4 linked regions of the Neodiprion lecontei genome follow. The protein of the gene in region 3 binds, or shares a complex with, the protein of the main gene of each other region. Links are inferred from orthologs where the notes say so. Each region holds a gene or a part of one and is shown on either strand. Other genes may lie near its edges.

Region 1 (6,951 bases), on a different chromosome or scaffold from region 3:
ATGATGACGATGCGTGGAGTTGTTATGAAACTGATAAACCGAGGTTTCGTTTGTAATTTCGATGCAGCTAGCTTTTTATTATCGGCGCTGAAACGCGTCGCTGAAAATCGAAATTTTTTTTCAATTGGGAATTTCGGTACATCGACTGTGTGATGATTAGATTAACAAAACGAATTAGTGTAAACCGAGCGTATATTTTCTCCGAGCGGGAAGATTCTTCAATCGGAAAATTTAACAAACTTGAGTCTCTATTCACTCTCGGAAAGTTGGAGAAGCTTTGAAACGGGAGGCATCGATATTCGTTTAGCAGATGTTAGGGAAAGAATTAAGGAAAGTGTATCGGATGTGGTAAGATAAAACTTACGTGTCTGATATTTCGACCGCATAGGCGGAAAGGAAAAAGGTCGAAAACTCGATCTCGTATACAATAATAACTTCACCTTCTCTCTTTTATTTCCAAGATATCAAAAACAGGGATATTGTATACTGAAAATTGACAGGCCAAGACAGAATTTTCGACGTCGTTTGAAAAAATTGTGAATGTAATTACATACACAGGATACAGACTTATGTACGTATCTACGTACGTACGTCAAACCCGCATTTACATTCGACTCCTCATTCGTGCAGGCGTCTAGTTTGACTTACCTACGTATGCATAGGTACTTTAAATTCTAGTCTTCGTGTACCTGAGCGTCTACGATCAGAATAAAGACCCGAGTTTCGAAAATGGTATAGGTGGGTATTACATGTGTGCATTGTATACAGTAACAGGCGAAAAATGACAGTGTGCATACGTGTTTACCTAAAAACACGCCTATAAATTGCCTCATTATTTTTTGCGACAATGGTATCTATCTGGCCATGTGCGAAAAAACGACAATCAAGTTTTGTACGCGCGTCTGTCTGTATAAAAAATGACGTATACGTAACGCTATTATTGCAGAGATTGCGGAGTCGCGATTGAGAATAACGAGATGAATCGCAACGCGGTAAATGGCAAACAATTAACCGTGCTGAGTAATAAAACGCGAAACAACCAAGCTGCTGCTAATCAAAATGCGTTGTCGAACTCTCGGTACGCGATCTGTTACATTTTCGATAGCAGAAAAGGAATGAGAATAAGAATAAAAAGAAAAGATTGGTAAACCGGTTTTTTACGCACAAACATCAAAGAACAAAACCCGCTGCAGGCTCTCTCCGACTTTTCAGCAATATAACATGACCAGTTTGACGGTTCCAATATGGAACTGTGCCATTTTTAAAGCGCGTTGGTTATTATACAGAAGATGTTTTTTTTTCCAACTAGTGTAAACGTGAGTCCATAAATATTATATTACGTATCGATGAGGAGGAAAGAGATACTCACATTTTAACACATCAACACGAAGAGTTGGCCGACATTAACGAGGGTTGAATGCTTGGTTGGCGAAGAACGAAGATTTCCGTTCGATTCCCTCGTTAATACGAAATCCAAATAAATATGCAAGAGGGAGAGGTAACTGAGACACTGTACTGTGTTTGTATTGTGTATATCCACCTGCACCTTTTCCTCCTCCTTCCTCCTCCTTCTCAAAGCCGCAACACTTGGCAAATGTCCGAGAGCCGTCTAAAATTCAACTTTGCCGATGTGTGCACAAGCGGTAGGTGGGTATATTTACCCCGTTTACACGGCGATGTACTCGACCCCTTTCGCCGTTAAATCACTCGGCTGTTAATAACCCTGATTGGGTAACCACGGCGTAGAAATTTTTACGCGAAACGCGACCGAAAGTACGAGAAAATTGTTAAAACAATCGAGTATTGACAAATGCGGCGTCGCGACACCGCCGCAACATTTCTCTCGCGATTGTTTCGATGGTTTGTGCTGCTGCCGCGCGGGCAACTTCGGAACTAACGAGGCGAACCTTACCCAGCGTATTTACGTTTCATCATTGTCGCCAATTTACGGTCCCAACGATTACGATCGTGACGACGATTTATTGATGGGGATTCTCCGTCGTCGGTTGTCGATATTTGCCGCTACTTTTGATAACCTCGGTGTAGTAATTTTGAAAAAGATAAATCGTCGCAAAGGCAGGTCACGCAGGTCGTGACGTCATTCGTGCAGTAAACACTCTCCTTCTGTCAAATCAGTCAATATCGCGCTACAAAAGCGGTTCAAATCAAATTATCTTCAGGGTTTAGGACGCGTCAGCTGACCGGACTGTTGCTGTTAAAAACATCGTGAGTTTCGTTACTTCTTCAGCCCTCCTTTGGACAGATTTTATTTCATAATTACACCGATTATGGTGTTCGGCTGTTTCTAACCTATATGCATGTGTACAAAATTTCACCGATTTTTAAAATTTATGCAATTTTGTATTTGATAGAACATTTTGGCCTTTTATTTTTATGAACTTTATTGCTTCAGAGAATGGATAATATTTTTGGTAAAGATGATTCTGGGAACGAAAGCGAGCTTGTCGATATTGAAGATAAGGACAGTCCGTCTAGACCCTCCGGAACCAGAGACAGCGATGGCATGGATATTGACGACGTTCCTTTGAAGGTGAAAGGAGTAAATATATTGAAATTTTCAGCTTCGTACTTTTGCAGTCGATATCGCTAATACGGAGGAGAATTTAGAACATTTTTATACTTATATTGCAATTATGAAAATCGAGAACTCGAATTTGCACAAAAATATAAGCAAAACTGATGATCTCCAATCTTTTTGTCATACTTAAATTGAGACTGATTTCTCATGCGGTTCTCGTCAAATTGTTTTGAATAATTTGGTGTTTTAATTTTAAAGAATGAACCTGACACTTCAAGTCAGAATTCTCAATCAGACACAGAAGAGTCAAGTCCCCAACAAACTAGTAGCGGAATGCTATCAAGTGACCATATGGACTTGAAGAATGATCCAGAGAGTCAAGATGAGCATGAAGACATTTTTGGAAATGATATAATGCTCCCACATTCGGTACCGACAAAAATAGATGGAAGAAGAGAAAGTAGAGAAAAGAGTAAAAAGGAACTGGAGGAAGAAGAGCGGGAGAAAATGCAGTATGTTAAATATTCACCTTTTTGGCTTCTATTTGTGAAGCGACGCATTTGACAATACGTACAAAATTACTTTCACCATTTTTATTCTAGAGTTTTGGTATCAAATTTCACGGAAGATCAATTGGACAGATACGAGATGTACAGAAGAGCTGCATTTCCCAAAGCAGCAATCAAAAGAGTAATCAGATTTTATCAAAGCTTTTAGTTAGTTCTGCATTCTCAAAATTATTCGAAGTGTAAATTCCTTGAAGAAACTCCTTGTTAAATAAAAATGCATGTAAGCTTCTTGAAAGATAACCTTCACGAACTAATATTTTACTCGCGTTTTTTTTTCAAATATCTACTCAATATTGATTGCATAAATTTACTCCGACCAACAATCACAAGGTCAATACCTAATATCTTATTGCCAAAGAAAATGAACAGACGGCTCTTCCATTTTGTTGTTTTCGATTCTTTTCAGATTATGCAGACAATTACGGGCTGCTCGGTATCTCAAAATGTCGTGATAGCCATGTCAGGTATAGCCAAGGTGTTTGTCGGCGAAATTGTTGAGGAAGGTACGATATGAAAAACTATATCTCTTGCACAAGATAATTACAAACTCCGATGTATGCAAATTTCGATGGCTCAAAAAATTGACGAATATTTTTATTGGAGAAAAAGATATTGTAAAATCCATAGTAACTCTTTCACTGTAAAGAATATAGAGAGCAGAAGCTGAAATAATGTAACAAATATGCAACTGTTTAAAGCTTTGGATGTCATGGAAACTCACGAAGAAACGGGCCCATTGCAACCAAAACATTTGAGGGAAGCGGTACGCAGATTACGACTTCAGGGACAAATACCAAACGGTAGAGCACAAAAGGCATTTTTCAGACTTTGAGGAAAGCATGAGCTTTTTTGCAAATGGTCAAGAAAAATGTTATTAAAGTGCAGCACGTAGTACAAACGCTTTTGTTATAACAAAAAAGGCTAATAGCTGGAAAAACGTCCAGAAGACTTCCAAAAGCTACAGCCAATGTTAGAAAATGCGAAATGCCAATCAATATCTATTGTAATAATATTATGTTTATGCATTAGCGTCTAATTTTAAACCTGTAAAAGGTCATTAGAGTTAATTTATTAAATCATAACAGAGGCAATAAATGAAATTCTGTTATGATTTTAGATCTAGCTATACAATATAATTTTAACGTTACTTGTAAAATACATTTGAAATCTCTTCTCTTCTCTGGCAGTATAAATTTTTTCATCCGAGAGTTATAGTCTAATCTGAAAGCTTTCAATGTATGTTTCCCAAAGAGAATTCTATTCTTGTAACATTGTTCTCTTGACCCACAAATGTAGAAAGAATTATATTTTCTCTTATTGTTACATATAATGAATAAAAAGATATATCACTAAAATCCTGATACCTGTTGTATTTCAACTATGAGAAATACCAAAAAACCATGACTAAATGAATTCGTACTAGGGTATTTTTCGAAAGATGAAATTTTTTCAAAAGTATATCTCGACACGTGCACAAAAAAGCATGATTTATAACGATTTTATTTCCAATTATCAATAATAGTCATGCGTCACCCCCGTTACCAAAAACCTCATTCCGTAAATATCTTTACTGAAATTGATTTATAGTATACTATGATACAATCTTCTGTATTTTGTTATTCTAATATGTACAAAGAGTTAATCATACTATAAAAATTTGTAGTAACTTTACTTCTCTTAAAATCTTAAATATCCTTATGTTATTTTTGGCAGATAATTACTAGTTATATGGTATTATAATTATCTTATTTTCATTTAACAGTATTTAAGAAAGAGTCATTCAGAATTACAATATATTTATAAGTAAAAAGCTGATATTCATATTAGGATCTTATTTACACTTATAAGTTATATGCATTCTCTGACAGCAGTAAGCACGTAAGTATATAACAACTAAAAATTACAACTTAATATTCTTAACTGTTCATCGTACGCTTGCAGATGTTCACTACATTTCAAAAACCATTGCTCATTGAAATGATGGAATATATTTTTATACCACGATATAATATTAAAGAGTAGTTGATAGATCTACTCGCTCGATTACAAATATTATACATTATCATTGTAAAATAGCTAACATAAAGCATTATGTTAGTATTCCTCCGGTAATTAGAAAATTTACTTTACAAATACATACAACAGATATTATACATCTTGCATCGTCTATATCACGAATTAAGAAATATTTTACACAGTTCTATTATTATACTTCATTTCTTTACAACTGGTTAACACACATATTTCAATATCTGTACACTAATCCGCCATATATTATCTATTTAAATTATATCTCAGTTTTCTGTACACGAAATCTGATTAGTTTGTTAAAATTGAAATAAAAAAAATCAAACATTCAAGTAGAAATTATAGTTCTCCGATAATTGGTATCATTAAAGTTGCATTACAGATATGTGATTTTTGCAAATAAAAAATGAAATTTCAAGTTTCTTTCTCATCTTTTACCTTTAATGGTTCGTTTTTTTCCGGTTTTTCTTAAGCTAAATAATTATACGATACAAAGCGTAATTATAAAATACTATCCAAATTGTGAATAATAAACACCTTCCAATGCAATAGGAAACTTAGGATAAAATTAAAAGCTTCAAATTATGGATAGTAATAAGTGAATGATATTCACCAGATTTTTTTTCGCTGCCGAAAGTTTCATATTTTCATCAACTGTTGAACTTAGTAAAGCAAAGTATGCATATCTTTAGGTTAAATTCACTGTTTCCTGCAGTTTTATACCTTTGACAGTCTACGTACGTTATATTCACAACCACATCAATGTGTATTGAACTATCGAAAATATATATACATTATGTAGTTAACAAAACCTCATGCATTGTCTCCAAATTATACACGGCATTATTCGTGATTTCATTATTATTGCAAGTTTTTAACATAGAGTCCATTTTCGAAAAAAGCACCATTAGTTGATGATTTAAAAAAAAGATATAGTTTCGCGCTACGCTTCATGAGTGATTTCAAGTAATAAGTAATCATTGTCATATTTCCCATCTCATGACATACATTGTTAGATTAACTTAATTCTTATTTCTATATGCATAGAAATTTTAGGTATAAAAATGTTAAAGCTCGCATCACTTGAGTCTTGAGCTAATCTTAATTTGTCAATTATTTTTTTTTTCACGGTTTATATTTTACTACCAAGTATCAACTAGTGTAATTGGACTTTTCTTTATTTCAATACATTTATTATCAAACCTATAATCAAAATACCATCATTATAATTCGTCGTCGATATGTTTTTTACCTTCTCTGGTATCGGCATTAATTTTTATTTGCGAGCCAGCATGTTCTTCACTTACGACTTTCCCGTTTTTCCGTTCTTGATTTCTTCCTTTCTCTTCTTCTTGTTCTTCTTCTTCTTTGCCTCGATACTCATAATTACTCTTTTCTGGGTTAGCATATCCCGTCGATCGTATTTCTTTTTTTTGTTGAAATTCAGAAAATCCTTTCAATATTTTACCTTCATCAGATGCCCACAAAGGTTTTTTGAAATCCTCCAAAGGGTCATTCGAGCGAAGTTGCTCATCGGGTATGTGCTGGGTTTCTAAATTTATTTTTGTATTCAATTTAATTTCATTATTATTAAGGCTACGCATATTACTGTTATCTTTATTATTATTATTTTGAGAATCACTAATCTCTCTTCGGATGTCTTGTAAAAGCCTCTTTCTCTCGTCATATCTTGCTTCCGTTTTATCGAATTGTTCATCTCGATGTTTGTCGACAATTTCTTTGTCATTTTCAGTGTCCCAATCAGCGCCACGATTAATTATGTCAGATTTTACTTCAGACTTGTCATAGTCCAGA
Region 2 (4,829 bases), on a different chromosome or scaffold from region 3:
ATGTATAAAGTATGCACGCATTTATTTTTATGATTATACCTATTATTATTCTTGTAAGTCAGACCTTTGTTCCTGCTTCGAAGACTGATGAGCACTTACGACAGCAAAAATCCTCAGCTCATCGCAGATAGTATTATTAAAATTTTAGTTCCAAAACGGTTTCATTAAATCGGAATTATTCAGTCTAATAAAAACATCAGTAAAAAGATTGATTTTATGAACATAGCAAATGTATTTTGACATTTTTAAAATAGAATTTGTATAATTTTTTTTTTATTCACTTCACCTGAATAACTCATTATAAGAATAATTGATTTAATCCAGTATGTCTCTGTACTGTGCAGTACGAATCTCAAATTGGCAAACTAACCCCTTGTACGATATTTTCGTATTTTTATAAAATCCAGTTATACATGTAACAGCGAAATGCCTACCATAATTAATTATATGCCATTGCACCATTTTTTTCCAGATTATATTTTGTGCACAATATATTTAATAATCAGCTTAGCTGTATTGAATGTTCACTTTCTCGTTGTTCCGAGCTAAGAAATGTGAGAAAATTGTGCTGCTTGGAATCCTGTTTTTTTTGTTTTATTTTATACTTGTATTTGAACATAAACGTTTGAATTCTTTTAGTCTTCATGATTTTTCTCCAAAATTATTGTCACTCCTAACTTATCATTCAATCATTTACAACTATGTGTACACTGTAAAATAAGTGAAAAATTAAATGTTAAATACGGCGTTACAAATACAAAATGTTTTTATTCTTTCTTTTTCTCTTAAATACATTCTTCCATCCGATTCTTTTTAATAATTATATTCTATCCAACGCCTCTAGCATTATGACACTGTTTCCTCGAATGACCTGAAATAACAAAAATGATATTGTCGTCAATACTTCGTGCGGATATAAAAAATGATTTGCATCTTTCCTCAAGCAATTGCTTTAGATTTTTTAAATTCTTACCACCATTCCAATGTTATTCTTCGTTCCGTCTTTGCATTCTTCGACTGTTTCGTCAATGACCATGTTCATGAACGGATCAAATCCTCGCAGGATGCCAATCACGTGTCTCCCGCCATTCAGTTTTACTGCCAATTGAAAGTATCGTTAATAAAATACATCAAATACCATTCCTCTCAATTTTCTAGAAGAGGGTTTCGTGCGCAACATGATATTTGGCAATATCAAATATTTATAACCTTCCAAAGCTAGGTTCAATGAACGTTGAAAAAATAAATGAATATCCCAAACCAAGTCAATATTATTTGATACTAATTTAATCCTCTGAACTTACGGGATAACTTTTTGTCCATGTATCTGAAAAATATAATGAAAAATTAGTATATATGGGCAATAAATGTACCGGTAGGTGAAGTCTAACCTTAAATTTAGCAACGTAACCTAAAAATTCTTGGCAAAGAACTGCGGTTATTCGGCGTCGGTTTGACACGCAAGTTTATCACTTACTTTTTCAATTCTGGGGGATGTGCTTTGCTCATTTTTAATAGATGTGTTGAATTTTAATTGAAAAATCGGGGCAGTTTGATGCTCACACTGTCCAACGATGAGATTACGAACAACGTAAAGCGACGTGAGACGCTTTTACAAATTTGAACATCTAAGGTGTGTTACTGCGCAGCCATCTCCACGAACAAGTCGTATTAAGAACCAACCGTATGAAGGCCATCTTGGATTTTCAATTGATCCCATTCAATACCATCTATATAGCGTACAATTTAACAAGTAGGAATCTCCACTGTACTTATAAGATACGTCATATAATTTCAAGAAGGCTTCTATGGTCGGCGCAGAACGGGACGAAATAGCGTCCACCGGTGGAACACGCTTTATTTTCTTACACTATAGGATGCTTCCATCGTAAGGTCCACGAAGCATGTAATACCATTTGTGGTAAGGTCAGAGTCAGGTTAGGTTAAAATTACAGCCAAACGAGAAACGAGATTTGAGAGGAAGAAAGTAATTTCTCCTGAAACCTCGTTTCTCATTGGCTCATAATTTGAACCTAACCCGACTCCAACCCTTCGATGGAAACAAGACCAAACAGTAATAGCCAGTTGTATTAAAAATGGAGACCCAAACAGTAAACACGAGAAGAAAAGTGTTAAATCATGTAGTTTGCAGTATTTTGGTCGAAAATGGTTTCGAAACGTGTGAAAGACAGGCGCTGGAAACCCTCACCGAAATGTTGCAGGCTTGTAAGTGAATTTAAGACTTCTTGAACGCTGTTAAACGAGTTTACCCTATAAACTAAAAAAGAATGCTTACCCGTAATTATGAACATTGTAGTTATCGTCGAGGTCGGAGATTCGGCGAAAAATTACTGCGAGCTGTCTGGGCGGACCGAGCCTCTGATAGCCGATGTTATTCTGGCCCTAATTAACATGGGAATCAAATTAGAAGGGATGGAGACGTATGGTAAACGTCTAAACAGGACTGTTCTGCCCCAACTTCAACAACAGATACAGGCCAAACAGCTCAATATTTTACAAGCTGGAGTAAAGCAAAATCATCCGTCGCACATACCTAATCATCTGCCACCATTTCCTGATCCTCACGCCTACATCAGGACGCCGGTGAGTCATAACTTCCATCAACTACTCATCATTTTGGTAGCACATTAGTGTAACTATCGACAAATGGTGTTCAGACACATAAACAACCTGTGACGGAATATGAAGCTATCAGGGAAAAGGCTGCATCGCAAAAACGGGACATTGAACGAGCCTTGACAAGATTTATTGCCAAAACAGGGGACACGCATAGTCTGTTCTTGACCGAAGACAACACCATGTTTCCCTGTAAGTGGTAGAATTAATTGAGTTTGGAAATTTTCAAAAGTAATATCTTATATTCTAAAATTATTGTTTTATTTATTAATGGATTTTCTCAACTTCTCTCAAGTGATAGCATGCAAGCCACAATTTCCCAGCTATTTGTCAGCACTTCTACCACAGGATCAAGTTTTTGAGCCTGATCAAGAGTTCCAGTTTGAACCGAGTCCGGTTCAAAAAAAGAAGAAGGCACCGCCTGTAGAAGACAAAGAAGAAGGTTTGTTCATAATCTATAGAGACAATGAGTCAGAAAAATGGTGAATCTTGTACTGATGATGTTTCAATTTTCAGCCCAAGCACAAGCAGATGGGACAGAGCAAAGTGGAGAGGCATTAGCCCAACAAGATGTGATAGACAATCCTTATTTGAGGCCAGGCAAACTGCCAAAGAATAAAATAACTGGTACGAATCCGACTGGTCCTGGAAAGAGAGAAGCGACAGACGTATGACTAAAGATTTAGGTATTATTTTGATATTTGGTTTTTAAGCACGGAACTTACTAACTGACAATTACTTTATTATTACTGATGCACAGAGGAAGATATTGTATATTTATATATAGTAAATTAAGTTATCATAAAATTAATAAATATATTTTAAAAAAAATAACAATCCGACTTTAGTTACTCAAGTTGTTATTATTGTTATCATAAATTGTGTAAATTTGCTGTGAGTCATTTTTTAATATAAAGGTCTACTGATTTATGTTGAGTACAATATTAATATATCTGTAGATATCCATAAAATTGCACAGCTCACTAGCACCGATATACATACAATAAGAAGGCAGCGTTTAAGGATTGATAAACATCACAACTATTTAAAGGGACCCTAGGTATTGCACGAGACATTATAAAAATAGATTATACAATATCGCATAGACGTACATATAACGATTACCGATTACATATGCACCCTACATTGCGAAGCTATTCATAGCTTAATTGGAAGCCTAACTAATTGCTTTTATTATAGATAATAATGACATGAGACCTTCATTGATTCTGTGAAAAAATATTAATGCCATGACAGTGCGACGATTTGATAACTGCAATTTAGTATATCAAATATGCAAAAAATTTTTTAACAAGCCTTTGTGAAATATGAACTATGCGTTCTTTGTTCAATGGATGAAGATCGATTATAAAATATTTACTTTCACTTATATTCTATGTAACAAACATGATTGGATTCGTCTAGACTCCTATAAAATGATAGACCAGGCATTGATTCGTAAAGTTTACTGTAATACCCTGTTTCTAATTTCTAATTTCCATTTATTTTGCTCTTTCTTGAAAGGCATTTGATTGTAGAAAATCACGCAACTACACGCGATTGTCGGACAAAATTTATTTTAATTTGCAGACAAAATTAGGTGTAACGAACACAACGACCGATCCAAAATTCAACACATTCTAAGTTCAGTCAAGTTCTTTCACCACAAGTAAAAAATTATCTATAGTTTGATGATGCAGTGTGATAAACTATTGCAGCAAGCTGAATATCCATATGTGTCTAATATCAGATTAGTACTTGATAAAAATATTTCAGCAAATTGTTGGCTTTCTTTTTAATTTGTTTCATTCTCTAATTTAGCCATTGAGCACTATTGAAATCGCGAAAATATAAAAGTAATAATCAATATGTTTTACTACATTCGACATCCAATTGCACAGTTTCACTTTACGTGTATTTCTTTATAGGTATGTCGCATAAATACAGTATCTCTTTTCGTACACGACGATACTTTATTAAATGTATCGTTACTTACGAAATAAGTAACGCTTTTGAATAAATGATTTTTCAATCCTCGGATCGCGTTAAAGATTTCAGTGGTTGGTTCGAGAGTTCAACATGTAGTATCTGGTTTCTTTTATGCAATTCACATAAGGCAATGAGCAATACATATATGGAATATACCTATATGTATAGTATTTGTCATATTGCTTTGATCCTGTTGTATTAAT
Region 3 (5,177 bases):
ATTCTGATCATCTGTTACCTGTGAAAGTATAACAATCAGTGAAGTCATTCGTAAGTACCAGGGAAAATAATATTTCCACTGTAAATGCATTACGAAACTAGGACGTAACGTATCAGGTTTTGGGTTTACAAATTAAATGAAAAACCATTATTCATATGGTAAATTATTTAGTAATTCATAGATTTATGTCATTTGTAGGATTGTTTGGTTTTCAGAAAAAAGTTAGTGGTGAACCTGTTTTATGCAGTCGACAATGGCGAGTTGAACATCTACAGCCATGTCTTTGATTTTAGTGATGAATTTTTCTTTGTTGGGGCATTGAACTGCGCATCCCAGTAGAAGTAACAGAAGTAACTTGATTTCTCCAATAGCAGTTTCGGGCTCTTTTCCCAACTTGACAGTGTCAGGTAACACTAAAACAAGGTGACCCAATTCCTCTTCGTAAAATTGCTTAATGTTTCCAATGATAGCGTTTAAATTCTTTGTTCTCATCGCTGGATTTCTAACACTCGGTACGACCCTGTCATGCATAGGCTCTGGGTTTCTATAAAGGATTGAAAGAGAACATTCGATGAAAATCATTTTTAAAAGTCGAGAATCTAACACATGACAAAACAAAATAGAAGAAATTCTATGTTTGTGTTTACATTTGTAGGAAGACATCGTGCAGTGCAACTCCGTCAACCAAATCTTCATAGTTGACAAGGGCGTCAGGTTCCTTAAGGCAGCTTGTGAACTATAATGAGTAATAACATGTGAAGAAAAACTTACCAAATATTTGGAATGAGACTATTGTAATAGAGTTTATCTAATCTGAGGCTGAAGCCATACTTTGTGTTGAAGTTAGAAAAACAATAATTACCCAAGTGACGAGAGGGCCGGATAAAAAGTCTTCAACACTTGATGTTGCCATAATCGTTGTTTGTTTTCTTGATCAACCAGATAGTGAACGATCTTGGACGTCTATTCAACAAGTCGTTGGATTTTTTGGCAAATGGTAAACGAGTAAAGGGTACTCTTGTAAAAAAGTTCGGAAGACCCTTGATCGGCTCCAATAGCCTTAAAATAGCTCGAGGTATGTGTAAAAAAAATAGTGTCGGTCTATCATAATGAATACACACATATTCTAAATATATTAATCGTGAATGGGGTAGAAGATGCCGTTATCAAAACGGAGAAATGCCTCCCAACGGCACTGACAGTTCGCTGCGTCGCCGAATACAATCGACGGAAGTTATTTTGTTGTGCTAGGTCCCTGAGAGAGAAAGAGAGCCGATAGTTTCGCGATAGTTTCGCTAGGGGAGCAGTTTTGTATGTGTGTAACTCCGTGAGATCATCATGACTCACTCGGTTTTCTTTTTTTTCGCTTCACGGATTTGTCAGATATCAGTGGTATGGAGTAGAGACACGAGTATGGGGTATGATCTGTCCGGCGTTGCCAACCGTAAAAAAATTTCTTTCGGTTCAAGAATTTTGATGTCCGCCGATGAAACAAGAGGAAATTTTTTTCTCAAGAAATGTGGTATTTTTGCCTGAAAATGTAGCGAAATTTTATCACTTTTGAATAATTTTTTTCCCGTGTGGAGTGGATGGAAAGCACTCGGATACGCCATCTGGTGGCGATATTTAACATCTGAGCGAGTAGGTCGAATCGCACAGCTGACTATTGATTTATGTGCAAATTTAAAAAATATCTTGCAATGAAAGTTTCATATTATATTTTGAAATTACAAAAACAAAATGTATTCTTATAAAATTACCCTTATCTACATTTGTTTATGCACAACGTGACTTACTCAAACTAGTGCATATTTTCACCGCTAGGTGCAATTTCTAAGCCACGCCTCTGCCAGAGATCCTAATGGTTCCATTGGCTGGAATTCCGTATTCCGTACGATTAAGTTCGTGTGTACGGTATTGGTATTCCGCTGTTCCGTGGCTGTTTGTCCTCTCTGGTTTGTCGTTAGTCCTGTAAGTTTCGCGGAAAGAGGAACGACTGGGAATGATTTCATATATAATAGATAGTCTATGGCTTGGCAATAGCTACCAGGAATAGTAGAAGTCTATGGTTGACTGCTTGCCAAGACTAGAAATGGTGGCGAGGCGAGTGTTCCGGAGTGCGTTACGCTGTTCTTTTTGTCGTATTTTTGGCAGGTTCATGTATTACGTTTGTGAATAATTGTGCAAAACAATGCCGAGAACTAAGTCTAGGCGAATTTCTGTGATGTCAACGTAAAAATCCAAGTCTCTCAACGGCGGATAAAGTTTTATCAGGTAAGAAGTAATTTCTCGCGTTCACTTTCTGGGGTAGGTGAACTTTCCAACTTGTCTACTATGCAAAGATACGGAAGTCTTTCACCTGTGAAATAATTATTTTGAAAAAAGATATTAGTATTCGATTACTCCTCAGCATTTCGCAGGAGTATATTTCTGTACATCGGGTCACTGCTGCAATGTTGTGAACAAGTTAATTTCCATACATTTCATTTACACAGTTCCTTTGAATTATCGAGAAATTTCCTAAAAAAAATGTACTGACTTTTTTGCTAGGTTAGTTCTGTATTATCGTGCTAGTTTATCTGATTGAGAATATACCAAACTGAAGGTGGAATACCTCCGTAAAATTTTATCCTCACTCACAACGATCTAGTCTGAGTGAGTCACCTAGATTTATCTTTGTAGAAATAAAAGAGGGTTGATTATTGTTTTTCAGGTCATCAGTGTTGTCCTATGAGTAAAATTTTTGAATATTGTCAAAATGGCAGCAGAATACAGTAGAAACGTATTAAGAGTAGTGGTGGCTCAAATATGCCAAACGATCGGATGGCACTCAATAAATTCTACGCCGCTGGAATTCTTGGTCGATCTCATGCAAGAGTACCTAACGAGGACATCTAAATTGACTCACCAATATGCCGAAGTCTGTGAGTAGCCACTTTTGAACTATAAGAATCCTAAATTCAGAAACATAAGGTTTCATAAATAAAACCAAACATTTAATTGTACTGCAAGTGAATTGAAGCATATATGATTAATTTCAGTGGGAAAAACGGAACCGAACCTCGATGATCTTGGATTAGCCTTTCAGCACATGAATATAGACATTCAAGAACTAGCAGAATACGTTAAAAATGTTGATTCAGTCCCATGTGCCATCGAGGTACCTAAATTTCCTGTACCTCGCGAAAGTCATATGAATTTTTTGAAGCCAGGAAGCAGAGAGGTCGTTACTAGGCCTGTTCATGTTCACGAACACTTGCCAGCTATGTACCCTGACACAGAAGGTATGAGTTGATGAGAAATATGCGAGTTACGAAATGCACAAAAACTGATCATTGGATAAGTTTAAAAAAATTAATATTCCCTAACACGAAAACTCTTGATGATTTTGTTCCAATTAAAACTGGGAATCAATATTTCATATTGTAGATGAATATCCTCCAACTAAATCTGAAAACCCATCTGAAACAACTCCAGAAGTAACGCCTTTAAACGGCTCTCCACCTGACGGATCGGCGAACATATCGCCACAAAGTACGTCGCCACAAGTGGTTTTCAAACGCCCTGGAGATCCAGTGTCTCTTGAAAGTCCAATAGCTAAGCGACCAAGAGTAGTCGAGGAAGGTAGACCACTGCGTGAGATTCATAGTGTGATGATGACTACTTCAGGGTTTTTGTCCCCTGCCAGGGAGGGGAAACTTCCCGAAGCTCGAACACCTCAACAAGCTCGATCAGACTCTCCGTCGCCAAGCTCGTATCCAATGGTTCCCCCTGAATTGAATTCCGACAAAAAGCCAAAGAAAATTGTGAATAAAAAGAATGGAGAAGATAGGAAACTTGATAAAGAAAATAAGAAGAAGGACAGAGCGAAGGAGCTCTTTAAACCAGATAAAATTGATGATAGTAAAGTTAAAAAATTAGCTGGCATGAAGGAACTTGCCAAATTGAAAGCCCTAAAGCCAGGTGGTGGCAAGAGCCAAACAGGGATAGCTGGTCCTTCAGCAAGGCCTTCAACACCTAAACTTTCACCTCCAAAACCTGCCGGGAGTCCGAAGCCTCCTAAAGTAGTGCAGCCAAAAATGAAGCTAGAAAAATCTGAACCAACGAACAGTAGTTTGGTGCAAGAAAGGAAAGAAGAGAAGGTAGACAAGTTACCGTCCGAGCCCGACAAACAGAAGCTCAACATTTTCAAGAAAATCTCAAAGCCCCGGGACGATAAAGAAAAGGATACTCCAGAGAATAAACACAAGGATTTGGACTCGCGTGAAAGTTCGCCAGGTTTGATAATCGACGAGAATATCGAGAAGCTGAACAGAAAAATTGACTCAGAGGCGAAAACTGAGGAGAAGAAGACACCCCATACACCCGATGTACATGTACAACCTGATTCCGGGGATCCAACTGGTCTTCAAAGCCCATCCTCTGACATCTACATGTTCGATGATATGTCGCCACCAGGCACTCCTAGTACGCCTAAAACTCCAGAACTTAACGTACCTGTGGTTATAGATCAGAAAAAGAAACGGAAAGAGAAAGGAAAAAAGAAGGAAACCAAATTAAAAAGTCCCAAGCAATGCATTAGTCCCAAAAAGGTAAAAAATTGTCAATGATGTCAAGTAGTTTTTACAAATTACCACCGGTATCTCATCAACCCATAATGACGCTTTGGTTTCATGTTTCTTTAGATCAAAATGTCAAACGATTTGGTGGAGCCGGATACACCGGAGAGGCCAAAGACTCCGCAGGCACCAGAACCGCCACTTAGAGAATTAGGACTGCCTCCGACAATGCCGTTTCCATTCTTTCCAACTTTTCCACCAGCTCCTGGTCTCATTCCGCCTCCCATTGGTCACCCATTGTTTCCAAGGTTTCCTCTTCCACTGAGCAGAGGGGTGCCGCATCCTGCAATGCCTAATTTACCATTGCCCCCAAGATTCGTTGGACTGAACACTAAAGTAGACGACTTTCCACCTCCAAAATCTAAGCCTTCTGAACGGGAGAAACCGCTTCCTATACCAGCGGTGCCCAGCTTACCTATCCCACCAGCAAAGCCCGAAAAAGTGGAAAAAGAGAAACCCGAGAAGATCCCAAAAATCTCTAAACATGACAAGGAGTTTGTGGCGCAACCCATCACCCCAACCTTGCAACCTTCGAATTTAGTTTTACCAGTAATAAAT
Region 4 (4,678 bases), on a different chromosome or scaffold from region 3:
TGACCTAAGCGCAGATATCACCACGAATGCCTTCTTTCTCTGCCGATTGATAAACATTATTTATATTCGCTATCGAGGAGGGCTCAATTACATACGAACACATACGAACACATAGTTCGTTCGATCGCTGTTATGAGTACAGTGTCTTCGATTCGTGGAATTGGTTGAGTTGACGATTCTTTTTCGCAGACAAGATAATACTGGATAGCATTTATGCACATCGATTCGTTATAGATTTGCGTATCCAACGTATTCGCGAAATTAGTTTTACCACTATGCAAGCAAGACTAAGCATACACCTTATAAAAAAAAGACCCGAACCAAGGTTGGTGGGTCTTACAACTTGTTTACGTGTTGATTAAAATATCACGATTTATTTTTAACCGAATTACCGACTAATTCGGTAATGTTACAATTAACGACGTTGGTCAAATCGAATAAACATAAACACACGCTACAACCGCAATCATATTATTAAACAAAAAAGATTTTCCCAAGCTGATCGAATTCGATTACAGATTCTAGAAATGCTACTGTACGGAAACAAGGAGGGAATCTTAGAATTTCATGTATATTACGTAATAAGTAAAGGGTGTATGAAGAATATTTAAAATACATGGAATAACATCGTATTAAAAAAATCAACGAACGCTCTTTTAACTGAAGTGCTGTCAATTTTCTCCAGTGATTGCCTGTATCACGTATTATTATTATTGTTGTTGTTGTTGTTGTTGTTGTTGTTGTTATTATTATTATTCATAGAAACAGAACGTTTCCTCTATTTCATTCATACATACAGCTCTTTCATTAGACAGATAACATTTTGCCTTATCGACGCATCCCTTACCGTCAGCAGAAAGGGATCCGCTTTTGTATTTTTCGTATCCTCGATTTAGTAGCGCCTTCTGACACGGAACAGATTTTGTAAAGAATTTTTGAGGTACCTGAACGGTAAATGCATGTCGTATTTGCTGTGTACTATTTAGCAACTCGAAAGCAGTGAGTAATGCACAGCGCATTTGTCATAGTCGTAGAATAACACAATTTCGGATTAGATTTATACAAAATTTTGCAACATATTTAAGATTATTTGACAGATCAATCGGCCGCGCTTTTGCGCGCCGATTTCGCAAACGGTACATGACAAAGTAAAGCACTGTCGATGTGCTCAGCCTTCGGCTCTTAAGTCGAATATCTTACAAGTAATCAAGTTTTCAAATTTGACAGCGCCTTTTGCGCGTCACCCTGATAATTTTCGGGTTCTAAGTGAAGGCATGGCATTTGTATAGTGATAGCGAAGAATCTTGGCGTAAGTATTCCCGAAATTGGGTGGGTGCAGACCTAGGTCCACCTTTTATCTTGATTGATGTGAATGATACATGTAAGGTGATTAAATTTGCCCTTTTTCGATCTTACAAAGCCATCAATTACCTTAGGGACATAGCGTTGATGCAAGTTGTTCTCGATAACATTTTTAAGTGGTTTGAGTTGAACGAAACGACATGCAACATTGTTAAATGTGATTCTATAACATTTGGTAAAAAAAAAAATCATTCAAAGGATTTCACTTATTATAAATTGGGAAACTGTTACTTCATACAGATCACTGAAGTTAAGGAATTCTAGGTATTTATTTTAATAACAAATTAACTTTTGTAAGACACAAAAAAAACGGCAATAAATTTCAAAGTAATTAAGATAATATTAACCATTGTTTGCCGTTAATTTAAAGCATATGAAGTTTTTTAAATATTTAGTATTACTGCAATAACATTTGTTAATGTTTATGATGCGTTTATTTTCGACCACTGCAGTGGCATTTTGTTATGGTAAATATGCTCTGTATTATCCACTGAGTTCAACCCTCAGCAACGAATCCTGCTATGCCGTCGGCGTTTTTTCGTCTCACTATTAGGAATGTTTCGTTTTCGACATTTGGCATCACTGACTAACGTAAGCTTCGTGAGATGGGTTTTGACACAGAAACTAGTAGATCTCTGTTTGACAAGTGTTGGAGTTTTCAACGAGAGTTTTCTGTCAATTAATCTTGTTCAAAAGTCGTTATTTAATTGCCAGATTCTTGTGAGTCAAACGAAATACGTCAATGGCTGCGGAGGAAAATTACGAGCAGGTAAATTGGTCATAATGAAATGGTTTGTTCATAATTGAGGGTTGAGTACGAGCTAAGCAAAATAATCTAGCCTAACGTAAAGTAACCTAACTCCTGGAGACCTTAAGCCTTGATTGGCATTCTTTATTTGATCAGTTCGAAGATGAGGAGACGGAGATTCCGATCGGAGGAACGCTTCCGGGTGGAAGAAAACGGTTATTTTCAAAGGAGCTCCGTTGCATGATGTACGGATTTGGCGATGACCAAAATCCATACACCGAAAGCGTTGACTTTCTGGAAGATTTGGTGATCGAATTCATCACCGAAATGACCCACAGGGCAATGGAAATTGGACGCACAGGCAGAGTGCAAGTCGAAGACATTGTCTTCCTTGGTGAGTGAGCGGGAATTTTAATTTGTTGTGCAATATTATCTTAAACTTGTTTCACATTGTTTTCCAGTAAGGAAAGATTCTAGAAAATACGCCAGAGTTAAGGATCTGCTGACAATGAATGAGGAGCTTAAAAAAGCAAGGAAAGCCTTTGACGAAGTGAAATACGCAGGTACTGTCAATCAGTAGGAAACCGGTTGATTGATATTATCAAGTAAAAACAAAAATATCATTGGTAGAGGTGTGTGAATTCATGATTTTTTGGTTTTTGTTATTGCAGAGTCTAATCCAAGTCTTGTTGCAATATATGAATAATTGGCCATCCAAACACATTCTGAAGTATTTTCTGAAACAAGTTTTCATCATAGCATAATATCCAATCAGGCTTGAATCAGACTCGTTAGTTTTAGTTTATTGCGTATAAAATAGAGCTATGATTTGTTGTTTATGAACTGATCGAGCGATGGTTTCTAACAGGAATGGGTGGCGTTACTGTAAATATTGCATCCTCACCATTGTTACTATTTTTTGTTTGGTTTGTTTTATTACTATGCAATTGGGTGGACTTTGTCATGTTTAAGTGGTTGCGCTATTGAATCTAAATATGGAGGTCACTGAGTTTCAATAATTGATCAAATTGGTCTGTTTTATTAAATTTAATACCAGGTAGCATGTAATTAGTGTTTTGCATCTCATTTTTATTTTGAATAGTCGGTTGTCAAATATATTGTAAATAAGTGTTGCATCATAATTGATTAATTATTGAGTTGCGTTTTAGAATGTTAAACCAAAACAAACAAGGTTGCCTGTTGAATTTATTCGAATGAATATCTTTTGTACATTTATAATTGAATACCATGGTACTTTAATGAATACATTTAACAATCGTTTTGGGTGAAGATTAGAAATGTGTACTGATGTTGCATAATTACTACGTCATCTAACTAAGTGATAATGAATCAACATAGTATCATATTTGAATAAATATTTTAAACGGAATTAGAAACGCTTGGTCTTAGTAACAACCTATATTTTACTGGCAGAATAACATCGTGCGGTGAAAAGAAATACCTTGGTTAAAGAAGGAGAAGGAAATGTGTAAAAATACTTGTATGGGCCCAAATCAACTATGCGAATGGTCTGCCAATTGCAATTTGCTGCAATTTTCAATTGGGCTTTGACACAGCCTATTTAATATCACTGCGACATGATCATCGAATTCCAGACTGCAACCAGATTCTCGATTTTAACGGAGTGATATGTTTGATGCAGTACAGAGTGAGTTTCTTGACTTGTTGAAGAATAATTCATCTCCGTATGTATGTACATATATTTATGTGTCTATTTGTGATACCTGGATTGAATTTATTTGTACATTCATGTAACTTGCTCAGGATTTTACCAATAATCAATGTATGGGCGTTGTACCAATGCTTGTTATATATTATACAGTACACGACTTTTCCCATATCATACATCCATTTATTTTTTTTGCCACATTTCTCCCGCATTTTCCGTGCAAAATTCCGGGAAAATTGGAATTTAGAACGTCATGCTGACATGCATCAACGTAGGAAGAGTTCGAAAAAAGGCGCGTTTTTTCGTGGGTCTAAAATGATTGGTTGATGCTAATTGATTACTTGAGAGCAAGACATCTGGTTAGTAAGTAGTGTCTTGGCGGAGTATTAGCACGGAACGATTGGTTCAGAGAAGCAAACGGTGAAGCATTAATTGATTACATCGTCATTAAAACAAAGGTGCTATCCTTAGTTCTGAGAATAAGGGCTTCTCTGATTGTGAACTGTACATGATTTTCGGAAGATATAACGGTGACGTGTGAAAATTGTATATACGCTGCTTAATACTTTATAGATGTGAGCTTGGTTGATAAAATAACAGGCAATGTGGCGTGTAAGAACTAATAATATGAGAATCTTGCACGTATGATCGTAACTGTATACGTCTGTATTGGTCTAAGAACTATGGTAAGGGTGCATAGGACTCTCTTGCGGTCACTACAATTTTGCTACAAGAACTTGCCTTGAACTTTTCCAAAATCAACTGCAAATTGTCGTTTTCGAGCTGATTAATACCGCACGTCGTTACTGTAATTTTTCGAACGGCTGCACTGAGAGCGGGTTCTTTAGAATTCATTCGCCATTGGACGAAAACCACGT

Evidence for each region.
Region 1: transcription initiation factor TFIID subunit 3 (region 3) and transcription initiation factor TFIID subunit 11 share a complex: the UniProt entries of both Homo sapiens proteins name them as parts of the TFIID basal transcription factor complex. The link is inferred for Neodiprion lecontei from reciprocal best matches to the Homo sapiens genes TAF3 and TAF11.
Region 2: transcription initiation factor TFIID subunit 3 (region 3) and transcription initiation factor TFIID subunit 8 share a complex: the UniProt entries of both Homo sapiens proteins name them as parts of the TFIID basal transcription factor complex. The link is inferred for Neodiprion lecontei from reciprocal best matches to the Homo sapiens genes TAF3 and TAF8.
Region 4: transcription initiation factor TFIID subunit 3 (region 3) and transcription initiation factor TFIID subunit 13 share a complex: the UniProt entries of both Homo sapiens proteins name them as parts of the TFIID basal transcription factor complex. The link is inferred for Neodiprion lecontei from reciprocal best matches to the Homo sapiens genes TAF3 and TAF13.

The regions. Positions count from the first base shown.
Region 1 is NC_060261.1:39,665,181-39,672,131, reverse strand, and holds transcription initiation factor TFIID subunit 11, read left to right. Parts: upstream 1-1,835; 5' UTR 1,836-2,230; intron 2,231-2,413; exon of another isoform or gene 2,414-2,415; 5' UTR 2,416-2,416; coding exon 2,417-2,560; intron 2,561-2,797; coding exon 2,798-3,051; intron 3,052-3,141; coding exon 3,142-3,229; intron 3,230-3,514; coding exon 3,515-3,611; intron 3,612-3,806; coding exon 3,807-3,940; 3' UTR 3,941-6,021; downstream 6,022-6,951. Other genes in the region: ER degradation-enhancing alpha-mannosidase-like protein 3, read right to left, coding at 6,360-6,951. UniProt on the Homo sapiens protein: The TFIID basal transcription factor complex plays a major role in the initiation of RNA polymerase II (Pol II)-dependent transcription.
Region 2 is NC_060262.1:2,041,688-2,046,516, forward strand, and holds transcription initiation factor TFIID subunit 8, read left to right. Parts: upstream 1-1,850; 5' UTR 1,851-2,096; coding exon 2,097-2,226; intron 2,227-2,317; coding exon 2,318-2,604; intron 2,605-2,678; coding exon 2,679-2,829; intron 2,830-2,932; coding exon 2,933-3,079; intron 3,080-3,153; coding exon 3,154-3,311; 3' UTR 3,312-3,862; downstream 3,863-4,829. Other genes in the region: probable small nuclear ribonucleoprotein G, read right to left, coding at 821-871, 974-1,098, 1,305-1,327, 1,478-1,509. UniProt on the Homo sapiens protein: The TFIID basal transcription factor complex plays a major role in the initiation of RNA polymerase II (Pol II)-dependent transcription.
Region 3 is NC_060264.1:28,406,916-28,412,092, forward strand, and holds the start of transcription initiation factor TFIID subunit 3, read left to right. Parts: upstream 1-1,964; 5' UTR 1,965-2,274; intron 2,275-2,713; 5' UTR 2,714-2,758; coding exon 2,759-2,924; intron 2,925-3,041; coding exon 3,042-3,284; intron 3,285-3,429; coding exon 3,430-4,592; intron 4,593-4,685; coding exon 4,686-5,177. Other genes in the region: girdin, read right to left, coding at 1-18, 235-544, 648-736, 863-913. UniProt on the Homo sapiens protein: The TFIID basal transcription factor complex plays a major role in the initiation of RNA polymerase II (Pol II)-dependent transcription.
Region 4 is NC_060263.1:20,310,249-20,314,926, forward strand, and holds transcription initiation factor TFIID subunit 13, read left to right. Parts: upstream 1-1,961; 5' UTR 1,962-2,104; coding exon 2,105-2,131; intron 2,132-2,266; coding exon 2,267-2,504; intron 2,505-2,571; coding exon 2,572-2,690; 3' UTR 2,691-3,544; coding exon of another isoform or gene 3,545-3,549; 3' UTR 3,550-3,928; downstream 3,929-4,678. UniProt on the Homo sapiens protein: The TFIID basal transcription factor complex plays a major role in the initiation of RNA polymerase II (Pol II)-dependent transcription.